Arabidopsis thaliana: one gene and its partners. The protein of the gene in region 3 interacts with the protein of the main gene of each other region in a pairwise test. Each region holds a gene or a part of one and is shown on either strand. Other genes may lie near its edges. The genes, in order: AT5G47570, AT3G17620, SLAH2 and AT3G13670.

Region 1 (5,580 bases), on a different chromosome or scaffold from region 3:
TGAGATTTGCTATATCCAGTTTGCCAACAAAGAGAAGGAAGACTTATAAGAACTATTCCCTCAAATATAACTGGATATAACATAATAAGAGAGAAAAATAGAGGTGTGGTACCAATCACAATCTTGTTTTGAAGGGGTCCAAAACAGTCAGGTTGAACAAGAGCCGGTACAAATGACACATAGGCAGATCACATTGATGATTTTGATCATGAAACTATTATTATTTACTCTTATGGAATATTTGAAAAGATTGAAAGAAATCCTTGACTCATGTGGCTGTCTTTGATTCCATCACTTGGAAAGTTTCAGTCCATAGATTCTATGATTTTTATTTAAGATTCTATGATTATCAACTATAGTTTTAATCATCTGCATTGTAGACTATGTAGTCTCTAAACTTGCCCCTTATTGTGACAAGTCTACATTAGACGTGTATTTGTACAAGTCAAATCCAATTCATCATCCCACAGTCACTTATCAAATTTCAAATTAGAGCTTCTTAAAGTATTCTTCTTAGTATAAAAATTTTAGACAAGTCACACCAATCTTTTATCATATTAATTTTTACCCGTAAGAATAAGATCTATGTTTACAAATACGAATTTCTTACTAAACTACTTGTCGTGATGAATTTTGATAGAGATAATCATCAGAGAAAACAAAGAGAACTAAATAAATGCGTATAAGATATGAATAATATACAGAAGAGGAAAGAAATACCGAATACGTAATGGATATAAAACCAAAGTTTCAATTCCAAGACGGATACGAACAAGTTCGAGTTTCTCTCAATGTCCCACTCACATGCCCCATTAGGTTTAATTTGTCTTTCTGTTTTTTTCTTTTTTCTTTTTATTGTAGCCTTTGTTTGATTGAAGTCGTACGAGGCTCAAACTTGGTTCGACACATGGCGCTAACTGAATTGCGAGACGATTGTTTTCTAAAAGTTACAAAACACAACTCAAGATTTCCTGAACCAGAAGTCTTCTCTTATGGATCTCTCTCACTGGTCACTGTTAATTACAGAGACAACGCATATAATAAAAACAAAGTCTTCTTTTTATTCTTTTGTCTTCAAGTTCTAAGCAGGAAACAACAAACATTTTAAAGAACAAAGCAGTGAAGAAAACACGCTTCCTGTTTTGATGAGCAGATCACTTAGATGGGTCTCTATGGCTCTCCTCCAAGCTCAACTCTCAGGTTGTCATATGGATACACTCTCGGTGTCTGCAACAACACAGTAAGAGATTAACATGATATGGAAAACAAGTTCCACAATGACACAAAAGCAGAGAGATGATATGCCACAGAACAAATTCTAAAGTAAAAGAGAGCAGCAATTCAACTCATGTATAAACAAGAAGATATAGAGCAACTTCTCAGCCTTGGAGTGCTGTTCAACCTCTATAACCCTAAGTTCTTCAAAACAAGACACATCATAATAGCCTTTGATACAAAGTCTATGATTCTTGGCCAACGGACACTAAGAGAAGTAACATTTGGAGTAAAAAGAAGAACAGCAATTCAACTCATGTATAGACAAGAAGACATAGATCAACTTCTTAGCCCCGGTGTGGTGTTCAACTTCTATAACTCGAAGTCCTTTAAAGAAAACTCATTATAGTATAGCCTTTGTACAAAGTTTATGATTCTTGGCCAGTCGACACTAAGAGAACCAACTCATCGATTTTAGCTGCTCATGCACCTCAAAGAGCCTTCATGTCTTTCTTACACCTCTAAGAGATGCCACAGAACAACTTCTAGAGTAAATGAACAGCACCAATGTCTAGACAAAAAGCCAGAGCACCTTTTTTAGGCCTAAGTCTTTTACTCGGAATCCTTCAAAACAAGACTCATCACAGTATAACCTATTAACCTTTGATACAGAGTTTTTCATTCTTGGCCAGTGGACACTAAGAAAACTAAAACATAGATTATAGCTGCTGGTACATACACCTCTAGCATACGCTTAAGCATTTACCGAGTTCCCAAGAACACTGTGGGTGTTTCTTTCAAGTGTTCCTAACTACAACGTACATGCTCAAATTAATTAAGACAGGATTATGGAAGCAATGCGGACATAAGATTCATCTAGTCCAGTAACTTTGGTCAGATGCAAAAGCAAACAGCAAGAATTGTTCATGTTCATAAACAGACAAAATGCAGAACTGAAAGCTAAATATTGCGGCAATTCAGCAAATAAAGAAAAGAACATTGACACATTCTCTGTTACGCGAGCATATTTTGTAGATTCCTATGTTTTCTGTCCACATTTAGTTAATGAGTTTCTGAAGATTCCAGCAAAAACCTATTCTCAGAAATAAGCCAATGCCAAACATATGTATCAAATTCAGAGTTGAACAACATACATAATAACAGCTGCATAGGGATGATAGATCTTAGCATAATCATGACTTCGATCATCACACTCAGGACAACAAAATGGGCTTGATTATAATTTCGAAAGTTGAAAGCTTTGAACTTACAAATGGAACCTTAGAAGCTTTGTCGTTCAAAACAGCGAGCAGACCGAGACCAACAAAGAACCCTAATCCGCCACTCAACCATGCCAATGCTTCATACTGTTCACATTAATCCAAAATCAATCAGAAAAGCAATCTCTTTTTACACCGAGAATCACCAGCAATTAGAAATCGTGTAACCAAACCTTTCCGACGGTATCAGCAATCCGATCTATGCAAGGCTCTGGAAACGCAGTCCCGTTGTCCCACATCAGCTCGTCGTTTACCGATAGCTGACCCGCACAATTTGTAAACATCAGATTTTCAGAAGAATCTAACAAGAAATTTACAACAGAAATTTGACTCACCGGCTTATCGGGGACGATGTGTTTGCCGACGGGGAGACCCATTCCGGCGCGTTGACGGAGAGAAGAACCGACGGATCGGGCAACGACGCCGTTTCCACCCATGATTCGTGACGCAACACCGCTCAATCTTCCAGCCATTTTCGCTCTTTTCAGGTTTCGATCCAAAATCCAATCAAATTACAGATAGAGAGAGAAGAAAGACGCAGTCACTGAAACGATTCCCTGAAACGCCATCGTTTTAAAAGAGGTCAATATTGTAATTTCGATTAACGAATTTTAAAACCAACGAAATGAGCAAACACATACACTTCAAGTGTGTCAAAAAGCTTCAGATTCTTACTATATACAAAGAGATTCATGTGGTGAATACACAAAGGTACAAAAACAGAAAAAGCTACAACCTTTAACATATCTATAAACTACTCAACAGTGAGGCGCAGTTCGTCCGAGTCGGGATAAACTGTCTTGTTGTTATTATCACATTCGCAAGAGTTAATCTTGTAGAATGCTCTCCATTCGTCGATGTTCTTCATCTGATCACATCTCAATTTAGGTAACCTTCTTCTCTCTAAGATCTCTAGAATCTTCTCTGTTCTTCCCAGATGCAGAGCTGCTCCTCTTACTGATTCTTCCCTTACTTCTACAGCTGACACCAAACACTTGACGGATATCACTTGTGCTACGTTGCAAAAGCAACCTGACACTATGTCTGATATTGTGCTTTCCAGCTTTCTCAACAGAGCTTCCCCTGTTCCATAGTCTCTTGATTCGTAAGTTAGTAGAATTGTTTGACAGATTCGGTACATGGAGTTGGCTGCTAGAGTCTTGATGGGCCAGTGAGAGGGCTTGTGCTTCATGCATACCATCAGGTTCATCTGCCATGACTCTGAGAACTCTTTCTTCGCGATTTCCATCAGCTCCCGAAGGGTTTCTTCTGGATTTCTTTGTTGCTTTGATAGTTTCCGAAGATCCACATCAAACCACTTGTGATAGAGATCAACACCTAGCCAAACGACCTCAGCAGCTTTCCTGAGGTTAACTGACTCTCCTCCGGTATCCAGGACGCATTCAAACTTGTTGACATATTCCAGTGCCTCGTTGACAGCATTGAGTAACTTCTTCAGGGAGGAGGGCTTGATGTCGGGAAGTGCAACAGCAATACTTGTGAGTGTTACAAGCGGGAGAGCCCAACAATTGGGCGGTTCTCCGTGGGCCAGAGAAGCCACCTTGTTGCTGTCGAACTCTGCAATCCCTTCAAATCCTTTTGAAATGGGTGTTGTTGCTTCCAAAAGCTCTATCAGATTCACTGGTTGTTTCTTTCTGCCCTTCTCTATCCAATGATCTGTCGCTTCCCGGTTGCTCCGCACCATCACATCCACCAGCGGGTCCTCTCCTTCAAGGTGCAGGACAAAACTCGCTAGGTCCTGTCTCGAGCTTGGATTTGAATCGGATTTTTCTGACTCACTGTGTGTGATAGTATTACTGGTCCTTAAGGCGAAATGACAGCACAACAAGATCTTACCCACACAGGATACCGAGATGTAACGGATAATTTTGCTACCAAACACAATCACATACTGTATCACAATACATACATCCAATATCCAGCGTTTTGCATTGTGTGCAGTCTTCCTGTATCTGCGTTCTTTGAGGATCCAAAGGCTTAAGGGATGTTGCTTCTTCTCTGAGAACCAATGTGTCCAGTAACTCTCTATTCTAAACTCATCTCTATAATACTTCTTTCCTCTAATCGGACACCTGAAGTTCACAGCCGTGAACCATCTGATCGCAGGAGCAATGGTCCCTATAGCTACAGTAGTAGTCTGGCAAACAAGAACCAGAGAAGTTGACCATTTGTAATCAGAATCTCCATGGCAGAACCCAAGTGACCTTGGTCTTAAAAAGTAACTCCTAACCATAGCTTCACCAAGCGTAATGGCACTCAGGAGACAGAAGAAACCAGAAGCAGTGCACGTGACAGAACGAGCCATCACGAATTGAGGGCTACTAGTATGAGCCATCATCCAAAACTTTGACAAATCTTGCTGAATTTTCTTAGCAACTGTTCTCTCTGTAGCCAAAGGACACTTCATAGCAACGTCGTACCTCTTATTGTACTTACTCTCCAAGATTCTTTTCGTAGTGGGAACTGTGGTGGCCGAGAAACACAAGATCATAAGCATAAGAAGCATGAGAAGTACGACCAGAAAATGTTCCTCAGAGAAAACATAAATCGCACCAGTACCCAACTGAATACAGATGTTAACAACATCAGTGATGACAAGAATCCCTAAAGCCATAAGATTCATGAGGAGATCATTGTTGTCCATAATACCCAGAGAAGGCATCGAATTACCCATCACAGTACATACAAAGACGGTGCTGCTGAGTTTAGCTAACTGATCCTGACGACTCGGCATGGAAGTGTTGAGATCCACAGAGAGTTTGATTCCGACAGCGATGAAAGTCAGAGAAGTGGCGTTGAGAGAGAAGAACTTACAGGGAAACCAGAATTTGCGGTGTCGGAAGCCGTGTATAAGATCGGCGGCCATGGCTAGACCACAGATGAGTGAAGCTACGGCAACGTAGATACCAATCGAAGGTAAGGGTTTGCTGAACTCTGCATCGTTCAAATCGCCATGGGCGTCGCAGCCGAGGATACCCATCAATCGAATTCAAGGATTTGATCGAAAAAGCTCTTCTTCAAGTTGACTCCATGGAAATGAGTGATCTTGTTGACATCATTCTAG
Region 2 (4,849 bases), on a different chromosome or scaffold from region 3:
AGAGAAATTGATTGCAATTTGACCGATTTCGATCTGAAATTCGAATTTGAGTTTCCTGGGAAATTTGTACCAATATCTGGAGAATTAGGGATTTTGTTCTTCGATATCTAATTAGATCATTCTTGATTGATTAATTCTATTCTCTGTTAAAGTTTTTTTTTTTAATCTTGATGTGTATTTGTTGAACAGCATAAGGACTTGAAGCGTTTATTTCTATCAGCGTTCTACCATGTTAACGAGCCTCACTTAGTCTATAACATGATGTCACTTCTCTGGAAAGGTATCAAGCTTGAGACATCAATGGGAAGCAGTGAGTTTGCTTCAATGGTCTTTACTCTTATTGGTATGTCTCAAGGAGTCACATTGTTGTTAGCCAAATCGCTTCTTCTCTTGTTTGACTATGACAGAGCTTACTACAACGAGTATGCGGTTGGGTTCTCGGGTGTTCTCTTTGCTATGAAAGTTGTTCTTAATTCTCAAGCTGAGGATTACTCAAGTGTGTATGGTATCTTGGTTCCAACAAAGTATGCTGCTTGGGCAGAATTGATTCTAGTGCAGATGTTTGTACCTAACGCTTCGTTTCTTGGGCATTTGGGTGGAATCCTTGCTGGTATTATCTATTTGAAGCTGAAAGGTTCTTACTCAGGCTCAGATCCAGTCACTATGGCGGTTAGAGGTGTATCTCGATTGGTGACGTGGCCCTTGAGGTTTCTGAATGGTATGGTTAGGTCTCGGAGAAGGAGGATTACGGGGAGAGGAAGAGTGGGAAGAGGTCAGACTGGGATAGCAGGACCTGGTATTTGGAGATGTCAGTCGTGTACATATGACAATTCTGGTTGGTTAAGTGCTTGCGAGATGTGTGGCTCGGGACGGGCTAGAGGAAATGGATGGTCACTGAATCAGGGACCAGCACTTTCTTCTTCTAATGATCTCCCTTTAGATGAGCTGCGCCGTCGAAGAGTAGAGAGGTTTAGTTGATCTCGGGAGCGCATTCTTAAAGCTGAGGAAGGATTGTGAATGAAGCTTTGTTGAATCATTCATTGCATTAGCTTATGAATAGCAGAGTTAGTGGTCGTGTTTTTCGATCTGTTTCTTCAATTTGTCTTCTCTTTTGTTGTTGAAGATTTGGTTCTACGTGAACTGGTCCTTTGATTAGATTGCTGAAAGTAGCGAGTGATTCAGATAATATAGTATCTTCACACCAAACTTACAGTTTCACAGACTTTCGATTTTAACAAAATTTTATCCTATTTCAAACCAAATTTTGTTGAAAGAAGAAGATCACAAAGCAAGATATAAATGTTAATCAGTAATCAATTTCCCTTTTTTCTTCCTTTTGCCTCCTTGCTTGATTTGCGCTGAGCTTGGAACATACGAGCACACAAGTGGATCTCGAATTTTATCAGTAGTTTTTCCGAGATCCACTTCTTTGTAATATCCATCCTCTCCAATGATGTAAGCTGTGTTGTGAGTGGGATACATTACATCTTTGTCTTTAGCAAAGACTACAACAACTTTCTTCTCTTCGTCAATGATGAAACTCGCATCTGCAATTCCAAACTTAAAATCAGTGAGTGGTTGCATATCCACTGCTAAGAACAACTTGCTCCACATCACCTCTTCAGGTTCAATCTTAGTCGTAACCCAAATCTCCATATGTAAGTTGTCCTTACGCTGAAATAACACAGCAAGTTGCTCTTCTCTAACACTAGAAAGACTCACAGTATCTACATCCATAGGGTAACACGGCAAATGAAGACGCGGCCCAAATCTCTCCGATGTAAAATTAAAACAGAGCAAGAAATAAACACTATGTATAAGATTACTGCTGATTTCTGGAAACTTGTCTGTAGCAAACCAATAAGTATTTCCCTTGAGAGAGACACCTCGTGCATAAAACTCTACTTCCCAGTCGGAAGTGACATCGAGAACCCTCCATGAATTAGACTTTAACTCGTATATTTCGTACTCAACAAATTCTTCTTCGGCAAAATCAACGAATCGCAAAACTTTGTAGCGTAGGCTTGATTTACGCTTCTCGTATCCTATAGCACAGATATACCAGTCCATTCTATGGTCAGGACTACTGGGTTTGAGCCACAAAGTTTGGCTCCTATACGGATTCCAAACCACGACCCTAGTGTAGTCTTTCGAGATACATAACAGTAAACCGTCGCAGTGATATACTTCAGATATATCGATCTGATCTGTACCGTTTAGGCTAACAAGTTTAGCTTGACGGTTTATAGACGGGTCAAAGCCGTTGTGAATTCCACGGAGGTTGATGCTCGTTAGATAAACCTTACAATGCAAGACCATGACAACCTTAAACTCACTTTCCCTTGATGTTGCTTCCTGAGCAAGGTGCTTCTTTGTAAAGCTCCGCTTTTTGGATAATGTTTTCCAATTTTTGCAGGTAAATCGCGCTTCTCTCAATGATTTCACCGGAACCCTAGAGAGTCTCTCCTCCAACAAATCTCTTGGAAGATCGGACATCATCTTCAAATCTTTCAAATTTGAACAAGGATCGATGTAACACAAATTAGTTAGGTTTGAAACTTCAGTAAAAAGCTCTCATGTTTCCCCACAGGAACCCTAACTCAAGCTGGGCCGAAACACAACTCTGCCCTCTAAAAATTTCCCGGAATTATTCATCTTTTTGAACTCTTATTTATATGACTGTGATGTCGTTTCATTTATGGGCTTTATTATTGGGCTTTTAGCCCAACTGTAGTTAAAAACTTTTTAGTGATTCTCATTTGTATATGGCGGGGGAGATGATCGACGGTCGCTTCTTGCGGTGGAGATGGAGGAGGAAGACTCTCCTCTCCGACTGCGGCGATTGAACCGAGAGAGCCACCGAAGATTCGAAACCTACAAAATATAGAGGGTGATGTAATCCAGCGTCTGAGCTCGCTGAGAACAGCCTCGACGCCGATTCCAATTCAGTACGGTGGCTTAAAGCTCCTTCAATTCTCAGACCATGGCCAAGGCTCTGTATCTTTTGCTCACTGGTTCTACCATTGTGAGTTCTTCACTACCACCTGCTTTGAATTCAACTACAATCTATCTACAAAATTCTCTAGCCGAAACCTTTCAAGTTTTAGCATGAGACCCTTAGCTTCAATTGTTTTTCTCTTGGACACTGTCTAACTTTGATTCTTCTTGGAATTGATTAGGAAATGGCTAAGAAAGTTGGAGAAGTTATAGAAAAATCCTGCGTAGAGAATGGGATCACAAAGGTGGCCTTTGACCGTGCAATTTACACTTACCATGGCTTTAGCTGCTTCAGCAAATAGAACACGGTCTCCAATTTTAAGTCTTTTTTTGTTTTGTCCTTCTCAGAAATTTGCTTGTATAGAACCCATGATTGAAATTTAGATTAGTCGGCTTGGAACAGTGTTAACTTCTTCCTTTTTAATGTGTTCATTTGTTCTTACTACTTATGCATCTCAAGAATGTTTATATCGTCTATACGATGATAATATATTTGAAAATGGTTGATGTTTACAAAGCTTCAGAAGGTAAGACATCAAATGTGCTGCTTAGTTAAGAGACAGGTACAAGTGCTTGCAAATTTAGGACAGAAGGACAAAGACAGAGACGAAAACTTCGGCGCAGTGAAGGCAGTTCATATCTGCGAAGTATAGATGCGATATGGTTGGAAGTTAAGTAACTGATAGTCTATAAATAGAAAAGTGCGAGGTATATGCCCACCCTGGAGTTGGTATGTCCGCTTCTATCTCATCTACCTATTATTAGCAAACTATAGACGTTATTAGTTTTCTGTTTTTTCCTTTTATATACTCACTTCTTTAATGTAGATTCTGTTTAATAAAAACAGTAACAGAACAGAATAAAATCTTGATTTCTTTTTTTTCCTCCCATTCAGGTCTCATACTTCGTTTGGCAATGCAATGAGGGAGCAGCCAAGGCAGTATTGAAGGGTGAAGCAGTATCTCGTTTCTTGACCAATCATCAACCTGTAAGTAGATCTCCACTAGGATGGCAAGCACCAACGTTACAGGGCAATGCCCGGGTCCAATGAAGGCTACCTCCAATGGAGCCTTCCAAAACGAAAGCCCTCTTGATTTCGCGCTTCCTCTTATCATCCTACAAATCGTCTTGGTGGTTGTGTTTACAAGGCTCTTAGCTTACTTTCTTAAGCCTCTCAAACAGCCCCGAGTCATTGCTGAGATCATTGTGAGTTTCCTACTCAATCTCTTTGTATTTTTCTTTTTCTGTTTTGATGAAATCACATAGCAAAAGAGACTAAAAGGGATGGTTCTGTAGGGAGGGATACTGCTTGGACCTTCTGCACTAGGGAGAAGCAAGGCCTATCTTGACACCATCTTCCCAAAGAAGAGCTTGACCGTTTTAGACACACTCGCCAACATTGGTCTTCTGTTTTTCTTGTTCCTAGTTGGGCTTGAGCTTGACTTTGCAGCAATAAAAAAAACTGGAAAGAAATCACTATTGATAGCCATAGCTGGGATCTCACTTCCTTTTATAGTGGGTGTAGGCACATCTTTTGTTCTCAGTGCCACCATAAGCAAAGGAGTCGATCAGCTTCCTTTTATTGTCTTCATGGGTGTTGCCTTATCAATCACTGCCTTCCCTGTGCTTGCTCGTATACTAGCTGAGCTAAAGCTTCTAACAACTGACATTGGACGTATGGCAATGTCTGCAGCGGGAGTAAACGATGTTGCAGCTTGGATACTCCTTGCGCTTGCTATTGCTCTCTCAGGAGATGGGACTTCTCCTCTTGTATCTGTTTGGGTTCTTCTCTGTGGAACTGGATTCGTGATCTTTGCAGTTGTGGCAATCAAACCTCTGCTTGCTTATATGG
Region 3 (5,708 bases):
AACGGGTCCTGTCAACATTTAACCAAAACTTCAATACCAAACCAGAAAAGCAACAACATGCATATAAGAAGAAGTTGGTAAAAGGGGCAAAATTAGAAGAGAACAACAGAGTTATAATCCTAAGATCTCATCCAAGGAAATCAAAAAATGAAACCAGATCTATCAACGAGCAAACAAGTTTGAACATTGACCTTTATGATTCATTCCTAGAAAAATCACAAACAAGTGTTACCATGAAGTATGCAAATTTCTGTTATTAGCAGCTGAATTACCTAAAAATCAAGGATAATTAGATCTAAGCTAACGAGAGATCAATATCAAACCGTCGCACACATAAAAAACCAGCTCAAAAGAAGATCAAAACCAACGACCCATCATTATCCAGCAAGAGGAACATAATTATTGAATCAAAGTTGATAAATCGACTAAAAGAATAGGTACCTGCGCTACATGAAGTAGGAGGATCCTTCTGCAGATCCTTCAATTCCTTCAAAATCCGTTTCGATGCCATTTCCAAAATCCCACGATCCAAATTCCAATTGAAGACTCTGCAATCGAAAACCAATCCAATGGTCAGATGAATTAAGAAGAAGAAAAACATAACCCAGAAAATTATATATAAAGACGGGAAGAAGATCCAAAATCATAACTCCGAATTCACGTTTTTGGTTTTGGTTCTTCGAATTTAGGAGAAGAAAGGGTGGTGAAACGGAAGAGAAGAAGAAGTTGAAAATGTTGTGTGGTCGCGACCACAATAAATAGGGTGCGGGTAAATTCTGGTTCGTTTGATTAGTGGACTCTGCTGCTTTATTCTTTCAGATTCGTTCGTTTTAAATAATGTCAAACTTTTTTTTGGGTGGGCCTAACTCAGCGTTGTACCTACGGCACATATAAAATAACGCGGTTGTTCGTATCATCATCATGTGGCGCCGATGTTTTCCAATCCCGTCGAAGCGTCGTCGTTTAAGTGGTTTAGTCAAAAGTCGTATGATCCGACGGCTGAGAGTTTTGTAGAACGAATCATTTGACGTAATTTGAATGAATTTACCATGCTTTCAAGATTGACCAGCGGTTGATGAAGGATGTTTTTTTTCAAAAACGTGATGTGTAGGAAATTATTACATTGTTTTTACTGTCATATGTCATATGTGACAAGACGATTCGTTTTGGTGACAAAGTATAAAGATGGAGGATGAATTAACATAACAGTGACATTAAGATATATTCGACAAATTAGATGTTAAGCTAGACATTATTTCCACGAAATATGATCTAACTTGTTAAGACAAATTGTGAAGGTTGCGGTTGGTGTGACTAAGTTTGCCTATAACTCAAATAGTTTTTACTTGAATTGAATCAAACAATACTATAATAACTAAATCTAACGAAAGAATAAGCCAAAGTGATTATAGTTTTTATATTTTTGCTGAAATGAAGAAGTAATTTATCATGATCAGTAAAAAGAATGGTATGCAACTAAAATTTACCAAAATAATTAAGATTTTCGCTAATTTATTATTATTAGCACTGCTATAGTGTTGTACATGAGAAGTTAATTAACAAAGATCATGAATTTTCATCACATTTTTTTTTTTTGTTAATTTGAATTCTGAACCGTGGAACTATCTACATTTACTAAAGGAGGAGATTCTAAATCTATTTGATTATCTTCCGGATCCAAAATCTTGGGACATCTCTCATTATTTCCATAACTTTCTTTTGTGAGATGTTTGAACCATCTCTTCTGCTTCGGTTGTTCTGCACTTATGGCAATGACAACGTCATTGGGGAAGAGATCACGTTGGACAAAAGCATGCATCACCGTCAACCCAAGCACAGCTATCACCGTCAGAGTTGCTGCTCCCGACATCACAACCGATAGTATCTTCGTTGCCACTCCCGTGACTTCGTCTGAATATTTGATCGTCGCACTGGCCACTGCCGTCATTGGAAACGTGTAAGCCCACCAAGCTAGCGAGAATCTGATATTTTTTGAATAATTATGTCAGATAACATGTATGTTATTTGGTTTGGTAAATTAGATCCTTGCAGTTCAAGAAACAGCTTACTTGAATCCCCGGAAAAGGTTAATCCGACAAACCTGAAACAAGAATCACAAGAAGTAAAGCTGTTACATTTCTTGTACCACAAGAAACTCAGCACTAGCTCACTAGAACTCTGTTAATGAAAACAAAAACTACCAGAGAGAAGTACAAGAACAAGGAGATGAAGTATGCTAGACGCGAACCGAGATCGAAAGAGGCAGAGATCTTGGTCCAGGCCATGGAAGCGACGGCTGGTGCAGCCACAAAGAGGAAGAAAACAGGGTGAAGCTCTTTAGGTAAGGTTTCATTCGTGGGAAGTCTCTGATAGAGAGTCACAAATAAAACCAAATAATAAGCCAACCCTATGGCAAAGAAGAATATTGGTCCTTCTTTCAACCCCATGGATGCTCCTAGAAGTGCTCCTGCAAAGTTACCGACAATGGAAAGGTGGTTTGTAGGGTTGGCGACTTTGGAGAGGCGTCTTTGTCCACCAGACATCCACTGTCCGTAAATCTTCATCTCAAGAAACAAGATGGGAGCCATAAGGAAGTACCAAAGTGTAGAGGGAAGATGTGAGATGATAGAGTGTGGGATTCCAAGTGCCAAGAAGAGGATTGATATAAGAGGAGCGAAGAAGAAGTTGACTCGGATCGGATGCCGAAACTCACGGCGAACCGCCTCAAAGAAGAGGATGGTTTTGAAGAGGTAAGTGATAGAAACGGCGAGGAGGAGAAGGAGAGAGATCCACCAGAGCACGTGGTTGATCACTTGAGTCACGTGCAAGAACTTCTCTGCCTCTGTGGTTGCTAAGGTCTTCCACATGATGGCTTGACTACTTACTCCAAGACACATCCCATATGATGTGATTGGAAACCGTAGAAGAAACGGCCACGTTTTGTCCTCAGGCAGAACTATCTTCTCCTTCTCCTGTCATCCACCAATAAACCCATAAATAGAAGTAACCAAACACAAGTATAACTCAACCATATGAGCAAAAATGAATGATAAAATACCTTGAGAGTTTCAAGCTCGGGGCCTTGAAGAGCATCAAAGTATCTATCAGCGGTTAAAGATTCAGTAATCTCTTTATGATCCTGCAACGAACTCTCAGTGGGTTTCCCACGTAAATTCGATATCTGACGTTCGAGTTTCCCGGACATGGTCCTGAATAGGTCATACCTCTTGTCGTGGAAGTTTCTAGATGCTTCTTGATCAAGAAACATGGCACCTCGGGGCATAGACTTGGAATGAAACTTCATCTTCCTCGCTCCGATTCGTTTCTCTAATCTTGAGAAATCTCCAGAACCGGATTGACGTTGGTTTTCTAATAGATCTGAGTGGTTTGCTGGAGAAACCAAAGGACTAACCGATCTTGGATTATTCATTGTTTTCCCTGTTTTAGTACATAAATTTGGAACTATATTTATAAAGATCCAAATATATAAAAACCGAATCAAAACGTCACATCCAACTTTTGCAAATGGGTTAGTTGTATATTATTGTTAACATATTACGAAAACGAACATGCAAACCACACACACATACATAAATGTATATATAAACTTACAGAAAATGAAGAGAAAGTGATGGAAAAAGAAAATGTAGATCTGATCAGTGTTTGAAAAGAACAGAGGATCTGATCAGTCGGTGTGACTCTTTTGTGTATGTGAAGTCAAATAAGTCCTCTGAAAATGGTATTTTGGTAAATATGTGGGCCAGAACCAAAGATATTGTGTGTTTTGGCTTTAGTGCTGTCCAGATAAAGTATCTTGTCTTTCACTTTTTTGTTTTTATTTGAGCAGTTTTGTTTTGACCATTACTTCTTGTCTCTCGAGTTATATTTGTCCAGTTACATCTTAACCGATATGATCAAGTGATGGACTCCAATCTGAAGGTAGTCCCAGGCTATTGTTAAAGGCACTGTTAATCCATAAATACAAGGACAACGACCGTAAGAATACATTGAAATTGAATCGTACAAAAACGTTCGGATAAAATATGCAAACAAGTAAAAAAGACATATATAGAGTAGAGATAATGTTCCTCGGAATGTCCTAGTGGACTCGAAAGTCAAGGAGTCAATAAAAGAGGCGGCTTTGCACTCTCGTTTAGTCGCGTCTGCGGATTTTTAGTATCCGTTCCGTACACTCGTCAATAAAATCGATTATAGAATGTTTTTCCTACTACTGTTTTGCCATCTTGAAAGTTTAGAATTATAGTGATAGTAATTTAAGAAAATGAGGTTCTGTAATTTGTAATATTGGGCTGATTGATTCCTTTTTTTTCTTTCATAAACCTTTTGATGGGCTAACAAAAATCATCCTACGAAGCCCATTTAGCTGATCCTTTCACTTTCACAAATCTCATGATCTTTATCCAACGCCCAACGGGCTACAACAAAACCCCATTGTCCGAGAGTTAATAGAAAGCTGACGTCTGATGTACAATAATCCAACGGCTTAAAATAATACAATCGAACGGCCAAAAAGGAAAGCTGTATTTATAAGGTAATAAGACAAAATAGCACTAGTTTCTCTTTCTCCCTCCATTTTCAGTAAATAAAGCATTCTATTTTTTCTTGTTTCATAAGAGAGATGGGAAGAAGCCATTCTTCTTTACCAAAATTTCTGAGTCTTACCAAGAAAGTTTAAAACTTTTCTTCAAATTCCTGGATAAGCTCAAAGGCTCCGTTCGTACAGCGAAAAAAATGTTGAAACCGAAAGTTTTACTAGTTCCCGGAGAAGACACGCCGGCTCAGAAACCACCGTTGGTGTCAACCGAAGACCAAACTCAAGAGAGGTTTATTTTCTCTTCCTACTTTTTGTTTCTATTATTTATTCTTTCTGTACATTCTCATTTTTGTATTTTTTCATGAAAAGTTTCTTCCTTTATGACCCATCTTTTGTTAACTAAAAAGTAGGGTTTATGTCTCTGAGAATATGGCAATGCAAGGGGATTCAGTAGAATCAGACGTTACTGAGCAAAACAGTGAAGGGTATCTCAAAATCCTAGACAAGATTCAGGCAAAATCTTCATCAATTTTTGAGTTTTCGCTTCAGTTTGATGACGTGGTCGCCTCGCTGGAGAAGAAGGAAGAACGACTGAGAGTGGTTGAAATGAAGGAGAAGGAGATTGGTTTGCTTGAAGAGTCAATATCTCGAAGGTTAAGTGTTTTAGAGGAGAAAGAGATTGAAACTGATTTGAGATTGGTCATTGAAGCAAGTATCATGAGATTGGTGCTTGAGAAGCAGAGTGAAGATTTAGTGACACAACTTAAAACAGAGGAGAATAAGCTTGGTTTGTTTCTCCGTTCGACGACGAAGAAACTTGAGGAGCTGGTGAGTGAGTTTGATGGGAGGAAAGAGGAGGCTTGCCGAGTTTCTGAGAAGTTGTGTGAGTTAGAGAAGGCAGAGAAGGAGTTTCATCTGAAACAAAGAGCTGAGACTGAGAGACGGAATGAGGAAAGTGAGGCAAGAGAGAAGGATCTCAGGGCACTTGAGGAAGCTGTCAAAGAGAAGACTGCTGAATTGAAGAGAAAGGAGGAGACTTTGGAGCTGAAGATGAAAGAAGAAGCTGAAAAATTGAGAGAGGAGACTGAACTGATGAGAAAAGGTCTTGAGATTAAGGAGAAGACATTGGAAAAAAGATTGAAAGAGCTTGAAT
Region 4 (7,921 bases), on a different chromosome or scaffold from region 3:
CTTGGCATCTTGATTTGGATGGTTACAACTTGCAAGACCCAATTGGATACTTGCTATGACAACTCCAACTCAAGAGTGTCGTGTAACTAAGAACCTTGACTAATTTGTAATTTCAATCCCAAGTCATGTTACTATATGTTTTTTTGTTTGTATTATTTTCTCTCCTACAATTAAGCTCTTTGACGTACGTAATCTCCGGAACCAACTCCTATATCCACCATTTACTCCACGTTGTCTCCAATTATTGGACGTTGAAACTTGACACAACGTAAACGTATCTATGTGGTTGATTGTATGTACATATGTACAAACGTACACCTTTCTCCTCTTTCACTTCATCACTTGGCTTGTGAATTCATTAATTCCTGCGAAATGGAACCTCGAATCAATGACCTTCAGGTGGAATCTCGGGTTCATGAGTTGCTCGATTTTCCGGTTCATACAAACCAGATATCCTCTGCAATCTACGAGGTATGTATATCATATCATATTGATACTACTACAATAAGAACACAACAAGTAATATACAGATCCTATTGCAGTGTCCCAACGACCACATCGAAAACCCTAAGAAGAAACCGTACAATTGTCCACACTCAGGAGCCAAGTGTGATGTCACAGGAGATATTCAAAGGCTACTACTGCATCTAAGGAATGATCACAATGTTGAAATGAGTGATGGGCGTAGTTTCAGTCACAGATATGTTCATCATGATCCTAAACATCTTCATCATGCTACTTGGATGTTAACAGTAAGTTATATAACTGATTATCTTGCTCTGTTTCTGCAACTTTGTGAATTTTTAAGTTTTAACCCACTTGAAACGATGCAGCTTCTCGATTGTTGTGGTCGAAAATTCTGCTTGTACTTCGAAGCGTTTCACCTGAGGAAAACACCAATGTACATGGCCTTCATGCAGTTTATGGGAGATGAAGAAGAGGCAATGAGCTTCAGCTATAGTTTGCAGGTCGGAGGGAATGGCAGAAAGCTGACATGGCAAGGCGTGCCGAGGAGCATTCGTGACAGTCACAAGACGGTTCGTGATAGTCAAGATGGCTTAATCATCACTCGCAAATTGGCTTTGTTCTTCTCTACCGACAACAACACCACCGACAAGGAGCTGAAGTTGAAGGTTTCAGGTCGTGTATGGAGAGAACAGCCTGTTTCGATATGAATTCGATAATTAGGTTACAGAATTGGACAACTATAGAATATTTGGTGACAAAAATATCTTTTCTTGATTTAAAAATTAAATATAGCAATTTCGAGGGAAATGTGTAGGTAAACTGGTGATTATGGCTCAATCCCCTTCACAAGGGGGGAATAAACAACACAATCACCACATTTTTGCTTCACAATTCAACTGAAAAAAAAGAAGAAGCACAACAGAGCCTGAGAGGCCATAGGGTTGGATAAGGAATAGGAGCCGAGACTTAGAAACATATTTCTCTCGTCCTTCAACAGTTTTTACTAATAAGTCTCAAGATACAGTTCGGCCATAGCTTAACGATGCAAGGTAGAGATTCTTTCCCCATTTTTCCTGCACAACAGAAAATTGCATCTCCGGTATTGTTCATGGGAAGGGAGAAAAAGAGTTCAAGATATTGATTAGTAATCTTTTATAGCTGCTCTACTCACCTTGACGTGTGTGCTGGGGAATTGAGAGGTACGTAACGTCTCTTGTGTCTCATCAACAAGTCTACGACGTGGGATGCTTAGGATGAGAGCAGCTTGATCGGTTGTGGCTGCTGTTGATGTGATTCTGAATCCACCATCCCAACGCCTGTGGATGCCTTCACTTGGATACAGAAAATCAAGTTCCACAACCTGTAGAGGAGATATAAGCGAAAACAGGAGAATTAGAAATCAACGCGACAGATCCAAAACTGAAGGAAACGGAAGAAATTCATCTATATCGGTGAAGTCTAACCTGTTCACTGTAGCCAGAATTGCGGGACATAACAACACCCCATCGATTTCCAGCTGTTGCCATTGAGGTTACATGGAAGCCTTCTCTCCATTTCTTGTTTATCCACTTGAACGGGAATGAATCGCTTACTTTGTAAGACTGCTGTGTATACTGCGTACCTTCATAATTCATTTGAAAACCAAACATAGAATAAGCCACAAATTCAGAGACTAGTAAAATACCATAATGACGAAAGTGTTCAAAAGTATTCATGAAAAGTGTAGATACCTTTTGACATGACAACTAAGGAGCTTCCATTGCTTGCACCAGCAATAGAACTAATGTAGTAGTTCTTCTCCCACTGCTCCATAATCCATTCCTGATTCAAAACAGAATTCACTCTCAGGTAAGATCATCTTGACAGAACACAGATATAAAAATAACTAACAGAGAAACATCAGACAACCTTGTGCAAGAATACAGGAGAGAGTTCATAGACTTGGTGCGTGAAGCCAGTTCCAGCATCCATTATCAATGCCCAGAGATTCGAACATGATGATACACAGCTTATCAACAAACCATCTGCAATACCTCTCTCAATATGCTGTGCCAGTCTTATATCAGCCACATTATAATGATACCTGGTTAAACACATAAATTGTGAGTCCAAAAATAGTTTTAGACACATTAAGGCCAAAAATCCAAGATTATAATATAACCAAGAGAAAAAATGAGACACAAACGCAGTCCCAGCAGTTAACTGACTGTATAAATAATTAACCATGAATTTTTTTACCTCTGCTTCATTGGTTGCCTGGCATTGTAAATCGATATCCATTGCGTTGCAGGGACTCCTAGACGGACCTTTTTCCTAGGGGCATCTTCTTCTTCCTCCCCAATGCTCAACCTACCTCGCTTCTGGCCAACTTGGAATATGATCTAGCACAAAAGAAAACAATTACAAGATGTTAAACAACAACTCCTAGATATCCAAATAGGAACGAAAGGGAAAGATATACAGCATGAAAATGTCACCTTTTGAGCACCCTCTGTGTTTATAGGCCTAATTGCCGGATTTTCGCCCAAGAGGTCTTGAAACAGAGATACTAACTTTCCATAGTTGGGTTCTTCATCAAATTTCATATTTACCACGATCTCAAGAAATTGTTTGAAAGGAGGGGGACAAAAACAACAAAGCATATCCGGCGATGTTGCCATCTTCTTTTTGCAAACAAGGAATGACTTGTTATCTCCCTGAAAATTGAGTAAGAGACAGGATTAGCAGAGAAAGAATCATGCAACAACATGATTCTACAAAACAAAATGATAGGTCTGCAGTACCTGATATCCTTGCCATGGCAATCTACCTCGGTGAAGAAAGATCAGTGTATATGCTAATGATTCCAGATCATCCCTTCTGCTAGCAGTTCTCCCTAAATGAGCATGTGCACTTGCGTATCTAACTGTCCCTCTATAAAAATTAAGAAGAGAGAGATTCAACAAAAGGTAAGAGCGAGTATAAAACAAATTATATTAGGTAACAGTAGAAAATATATTACCTAAACATATCAGGACGTTGATCATATTCAACATGTTGTCCGCTACCACCTTCTCTCCACTTTGTAGCTGAAAAGTTGGTTGAAAAATGAGAAAGGTAAAGAAGAACCTAGCAAGAATAACAAAGAGAATGAAATCAACCTAGTCCCAAATCAACAAGAAACAGTTTTTTCTCTTGAGACGTTGAAGGCTGGCCGAGTAAGAAATTTTCTGGCTTAACATCCCCATGCACATAACTGAAACCGAAGTAAAACATGACCTGTTAGGCTAGTTAATAGAGAGAAAACATAAGAACTTAGAGGTGCCGAGACTCCAAACAGGATATCAGAAGAAACCTCGGACAACCTAATTAAATACAAAAACAAAAATAAAGTTCAATTACAAACCCTTTTGCATGCATCTTTTCAAGGATGGAAAGTGATTCAACCGCAATGCAAGCTACCATTTCCGAGGACATTCTGCAAAGCAAAAAGGGGGAGAAGAATTGTTAGGGAAGTCGATTTTTTAAAAGCAAAATGTTACTCAGTATGGACTTATGTATTTTTTTAAAAACAGGGAGTAACACCACATTTCAAGTCACAATTCCAAAAGAATCCAAATTAACTTAGGATACTCATGTATGGAAACAACGCTAATTGAAAAAGAGACAAGAGCTCCCCAAGGATGTGTAATGGAGACTCACGCTTGCCCTGAAGTATTCCATAAATCCCATAAGCTAGGCCCAAGCATGTCCATAACCTGAGGCCAAAACAAAGAAGAGAGGATCTAACTTCAATGATACAGACAGGAGAAAAAAACAGAAATAGGAGAAAGGGGGAATCCAGTACCATGACATAATAGTCTCCTTGCCTGCCTTTGAAATGTACTCTAGGGACTCCATGGCTACCACCCAAGGTGCTGTTCACAATAAAAGTAAAATGTCAATTTCACATTTCAAGTCAAGGAAGCACCTACAATCCAGGTAAATGAATTTAAGAAACATTGAAAGAAAGACAGGAGAATCGAAACACCCACTTGTAAACCTGCCACTCATGTGGAGGACCATAGTTGCAACCCTTGCTGCTCCTATGCTCAAACTTTAGAGCAACCTATATAAGAAAGTGAAGATGTGAGACACTGTAAGCATAACTAAGCTAATAGAATGATATTTATGGTGACAATCCTCCACAGCAGTAAACGCAGACTGAGTTATATTACCTCCAAGATGCTAGCTCCTGCACTACGATCATTACCGCCACTAATACGACGTCCGACAAATACTTGTCCAAAACCACCCTTCCCCAGCTTTCTCTCAACTTTATATAGTGGTGATCCTCCAACTTGAACCTGATACGGAATCGTTAGTCATTACCATAGAAAGATGATAAGCAAGCCTACAATGAAAAGTTCAATAACCCCAAACAACACAAAAACTATGCAAATCAATTATACCCTCTCAGGGAAAGGAGCAGTATTTCCTTCTTCTTCCTGAGCAGCCGCCTTGTTAGAGCCACCACTATCATTACCAATAGCCATATCTTTCTTCTCTTCTTCAACGACTACCTCTTTACCCTTGTTTTTATCGATATCGCTATCCTTAGACGGCACAACAACCGGAATCTCCTGAGGTATCTCTTTATCTTCCTCCTTTAATTTCCTCGCCGCTAATCTAGTCCTCGGCCTCTCTGCAACTCCTGTAACTCCGCCGGCAACCGGTTTTGGAGCTTTAACGGTACTCTTCTTCGGTTTCTTTTCTGTAGGTGTTTGCGGAAGCTGATTGGGAGCTACAGCATCAGTAACACGGCCACGGCGGACTCCACGGCGAAGCTCCGGCATAGCTCAAACCCCATGCAATCGAGACGGGACACGAAGAGTCCGATCATTATAGTCCTCCGAAAACGAGGGCCTGGGTCATGTCGGATTTGGTAAGCTATTTGATATATAATCGGAGATTCGATTTGCCGATGATGAAGATGGCGATTTAGGGTTACGACGGTTCAAGTTTGCGATGAGAAAAATAGAAGTTTATGGATGAAAGTTCCCAAAATGGAGAGAGAAAAGAAGACAGGCGATGTGAAAAAGGCGATATTTATGCCACGTCAGATATTCTGAAGAGGAAGAACCAAAAAAATTTGGAAAAATCAAATTAATTTTCCTTATGACAAAAATTATGTAATAATGATGTGAATGGACTTTTTTTGCGTCACACGGTCCGTGACTTGCGACTAATTTGGAAACAAACGTTTCACGTTTTTGTTAAGAAATAAAAAATTTGATTTCTTTTCTTACAATGGTTTTATATGTTTACTATTTTGAATGTCTTTTCTATTTCAAACAAAAAAGTAGCTAAATGTATTATTTAATTTCTCCGTGTAATATCAAAATTGGTTTTAGACAATAAATAGGTTTGATTTGGTGTTTTTTTTTTAAGGTTTGATTAGCTCGTGATTGGGCTAACTAATCATTATATTTATTTGAACATTTATTTTCTATCAAAATTTCAAATAATTTATTCGCTAATCAGTTGATGATTTTCCAAATTAACGCGGAGTAGAGCCTTTGTGCCACTTAATTTGACCAAAAAATGTATGTTTAATGTATATATAAACAACTACTTATTTATTTATTTTTTAGATGAATAAAATCAAACCATTACAAGATAAAATACATTATTTAACTTGGGAAAAGACAATAACACTCTCATAACAAAACGAGACATAAAAACAAATAAGTAATGAAATCAAATGAACAATATTCCAAACTTAATTATTTCAGTAATGCAGAATATAACAATTATATTCAACACTAGATTCACCGCGGAGACAATTCATTTTTTAAAATTAATATATGTAAAAATTTGTAAATTATTTTATAGTTTACAATTGTTACTAAGTAACATCCTGTCAAACTCGTCCCGCCAAACCCGTCCACAAAAAAAATTTATTTATTTTATTAATGTTGATCTTATTTATAATATATTTATGAATCATTGTCAAAATATTTTATTCGTTGCGGGACGTTGAATCCATACATTTTTCGCCAATTAGTTAATATATGTTCATTCTTAAAATTTTGAATCACAAAATATGACGATTTTTTTTTTGAGATTTTTTAAACTCTATATATTATATAATGATGTTAATTTTTTTGATATATTAAACTTTTTATAAATTTAAATATTAATAGTGTTTTATGAATTTTAAATATATAAATAATAATAATTAAAAAATTAATATTTTTTGCCTTTTAGGTAATGATATAATAATTCTAAAAGCAAGAATTTAGAAGATTTAAATCTTTAATTAAATATTTTCATGCCTGAATAATTAATGTCAGTAGCATGACATTGTAAATAAGTTCAAATACATGATTTGTTTATTTAAACAAAAAACGTTTAGTAAGAACAATATTTATTTAAACAAAAAACTTTGTTTTAAAATATTGTTAACAAAATACTTTTATGCTAATTTTAAAGGATTGATGTGCAGTTTGTTTGGATTAAATTTGATTGATAATGTGATTGACAATTTAAATTAAGAATTTAATGTAAAATTAATTATTTTGAAAAAAAAATTTAATGCTAATGGCATTGGGTTGTAAATAAGTTCAACTCTAAGATTTATTTGTTAAAATGGCTGCAAAAATGTATATGTAGATTGGCAACACCGGCCTTGAGATCAAACGACTTGGTGCGAGCCTCGACATAACCTCTAGCAAATCGAAAGATTCCACTACCTCCGACCACCGGCATTTCCCTAACCTTCGACATCACCACGTTCCGCCCAAGAATCGTTATCGTACTCCCATTGTACTTCCCCGTAGTGAAAGCAAAGTTCATCACCATCAAGAAGCCTATCTCTCCTTGGGCCGCTGCTACGTACATCCCTTGGGCTTGGCCCACCACAGTCGCATTCCTTGGCACATCGAATGTTAGTGGATCGTCCATCATGGTGATCGATCCGGATAAGGAAGAGTTCAAGACCGGCTGTTGGATCATCACGGAGCTAGGGTTTCTACCGTTTACAGAGTTGTGCCAATAGACTCGGAGATGAGTGAGTTTCTCCTTTTTGTAAGGGCCAAGGTGTTTCCCGTTCATGGTTCTTCCCAATTCATCTCCGACGGAAGCAACGGCATAGAAAAGGAGGATTTGTGCGGCGAAGATAAGGATGAGGTTAGTCATGTTGTGGTTTTTGTGTCTCTAGATGAAGGTTTGTGCTATAAATAAACGAGTGTTTTGTGTGTGTATAAATAGAGATGAAATAAGGCACGTTTTCTTTTGAGATTTCTCCATAAAATATGATTGATCCATTGGATATTGTGAGTTGTGATCAGTTAAAACACACAATATTGGGATTTGTTGGATTCTTTTTTTTTATAAACGTGTGATAAAGACCAATCGATGTATATTATTAGTTCGTACTCTGCATAGTTTGATAGTGGATACCAGTACTTTTTCGAAAGTATTATTCCAAGGA

Evidence for each region.
Region 1: the proteins of SLAH2 (region 3) and AT5G47570 interact in a protein complementation assay, tested with the Arabidopsis thaliana proteins (one large-scale study listed by BioGRID).
Region 2: the proteins of SLAH2 (region 3) and AT3G17620 interact in a protein complementation assay, tested with the Arabidopsis thaliana proteins (one large-scale study listed by BioGRID).
Region 4: the proteins of SLAH2 (region 3) and AT3G13670 interact in a protein complementation assay, tested with the Arabidopsis thaliana proteins (one large-scale study listed by BioGRID).

What each region holds. Positions count from the first base shown.
Region 1 is NC_003076.8:19,291,699-19,297,278, forward strand, and holds AT5G47570 (NADH dehydrogenase ubiquinone 1 beta subcomplex subunit), read right to left. Parts: upstream 3,103-5,580; 5' UTR 2,969-3,102; coding exon 2,831-2,968; intron 2,756-2,830; coding exon 2,669-2,755; intron 2,583-2,668; coding exon 2,487-2,582; intron 1,228-2,486; coding exon 1,171-1,227; 3' UTR 889-1,170; downstream 1-888. Other genes in the region: ASG7 (uncharacterized protein), read right to left, coding at 3,250-5,496. UniProt on the Arabidopsis thaliana protein: Accessory subunit of the mitochondrial membrane respiratory chain NADH dehydrogenase (Complex I), that is believed not to be involved in catalysis. Complex I functions in the transfer of electrons from NADH to the respiratory chain.
Region 2 is NC_003074.8:6,025,196-6,030,044, forward strand, and holds AT3G17620 (F-box and associated interaction domains-containing protein), read right to left. Parts: upstream 2,500-4,849; coding exon 1,303-2,499; 3' UTR 1,251-1,302; downstream 1-1,250. Other genes in the region: RBL14 (RHOMBOID-like protein 14), read left to right, coding at 190-978; AT3G17626 (structural constituent of ribosome), read left to right, coding at 2,984-3,025, 3,180-3,299; CHX19 (cation/H+ exchanger 19), read left to right, coding at 4,006-4,203, 4,294-4,849.
Region 3 is NC_003075.7:13,916,693-13,922,400, forward strand, and holds SLAH2 (SLAC1 homologue 2), read right to left. Parts: upstream 3,661-5,708; 5' UTR 3,613-3,660; exon of another isoform or gene 3,439-3,612; 5' UTR 3,431-3,438; coding exon 3,059-3,430; exon of another isoform or gene 2,973-3,058; coding exon 2,202-2,972; coding exon of another isoform or gene 2,163-2,201; exon of another isoform or gene 2,102-2,162; coding exon 2,070-2,101; intron 1,983-2,069; coding exon 1,598-1,982; 3' UTR 1,473-1,597; downstream 1-1,472. Other genes in the region: UBC9 (ubiquitin conjugating enzyme 9), read right to left, coding at 1-8, 442-601; AT4G27980 (trichohyalin-like protein (DUF3444)), read left to right, coding at 4,753-4,844, 4,963-5,708. UniProt on the Arabidopsis thaliana protein: Slow, weak voltage-dependent S-type anion efflux channel involved in maintenance of anion homeostasis.
Region 4 is NC_003074.8:4,466,795-4,474,715, reverse strand, and holds AT3G13670 (Protein kinase family protein), read right to left. Parts: upstream 5,564-7,921; 5' UTR 5,283-5,563; coding exon 4,899-5,282; intron 4,794-4,898; coding exon 4,665-4,793; intron 4,556-4,664; coding exon 4,482-4,555; intron 4,365-4,481; coding exon 4,295-4,364; intron 4,206-4,294; coding exon 4,150-4,205; intron 3,926-4,149; coding exon 3,854-3,925; intron 3,704-3,853; coding exon 3,609-3,703; intron 3,537-3,608; coding exon 3,470-3,536; intron 3,382-3,469; coding exon 3,252-3,381; intron 3,165-3,251; coding exon 2,946-3,164; intron 2,850-2,945; coding exon 2,707-2,849; intron 2,552-2,706; coding exon 2,377-2,551; intron 2,290-2,376; coding exon 2,199-2,289; intron 2,155-2,198; exon of another isoform or gene 2,090-2,154; coding exon 1,932-2,089; exon of another isoform or gene 1,829-1,931; coding exon 1,640-1,828; exon of another isoform or gene 1,542-1,639; coding exon 1,482-1,541; 3' UTR 1,176-1,481; downstream 1-1,175. Other genes in the region: AT3G13672 (TRAF-like superfamily protein), read left to right, coding at 373-471, 543-1,175; AT3G13662 (Disease resistance-responsive (dirigent-like protein) family protein), read right to left, coding at 6,246-6,251, 7,111-7,626.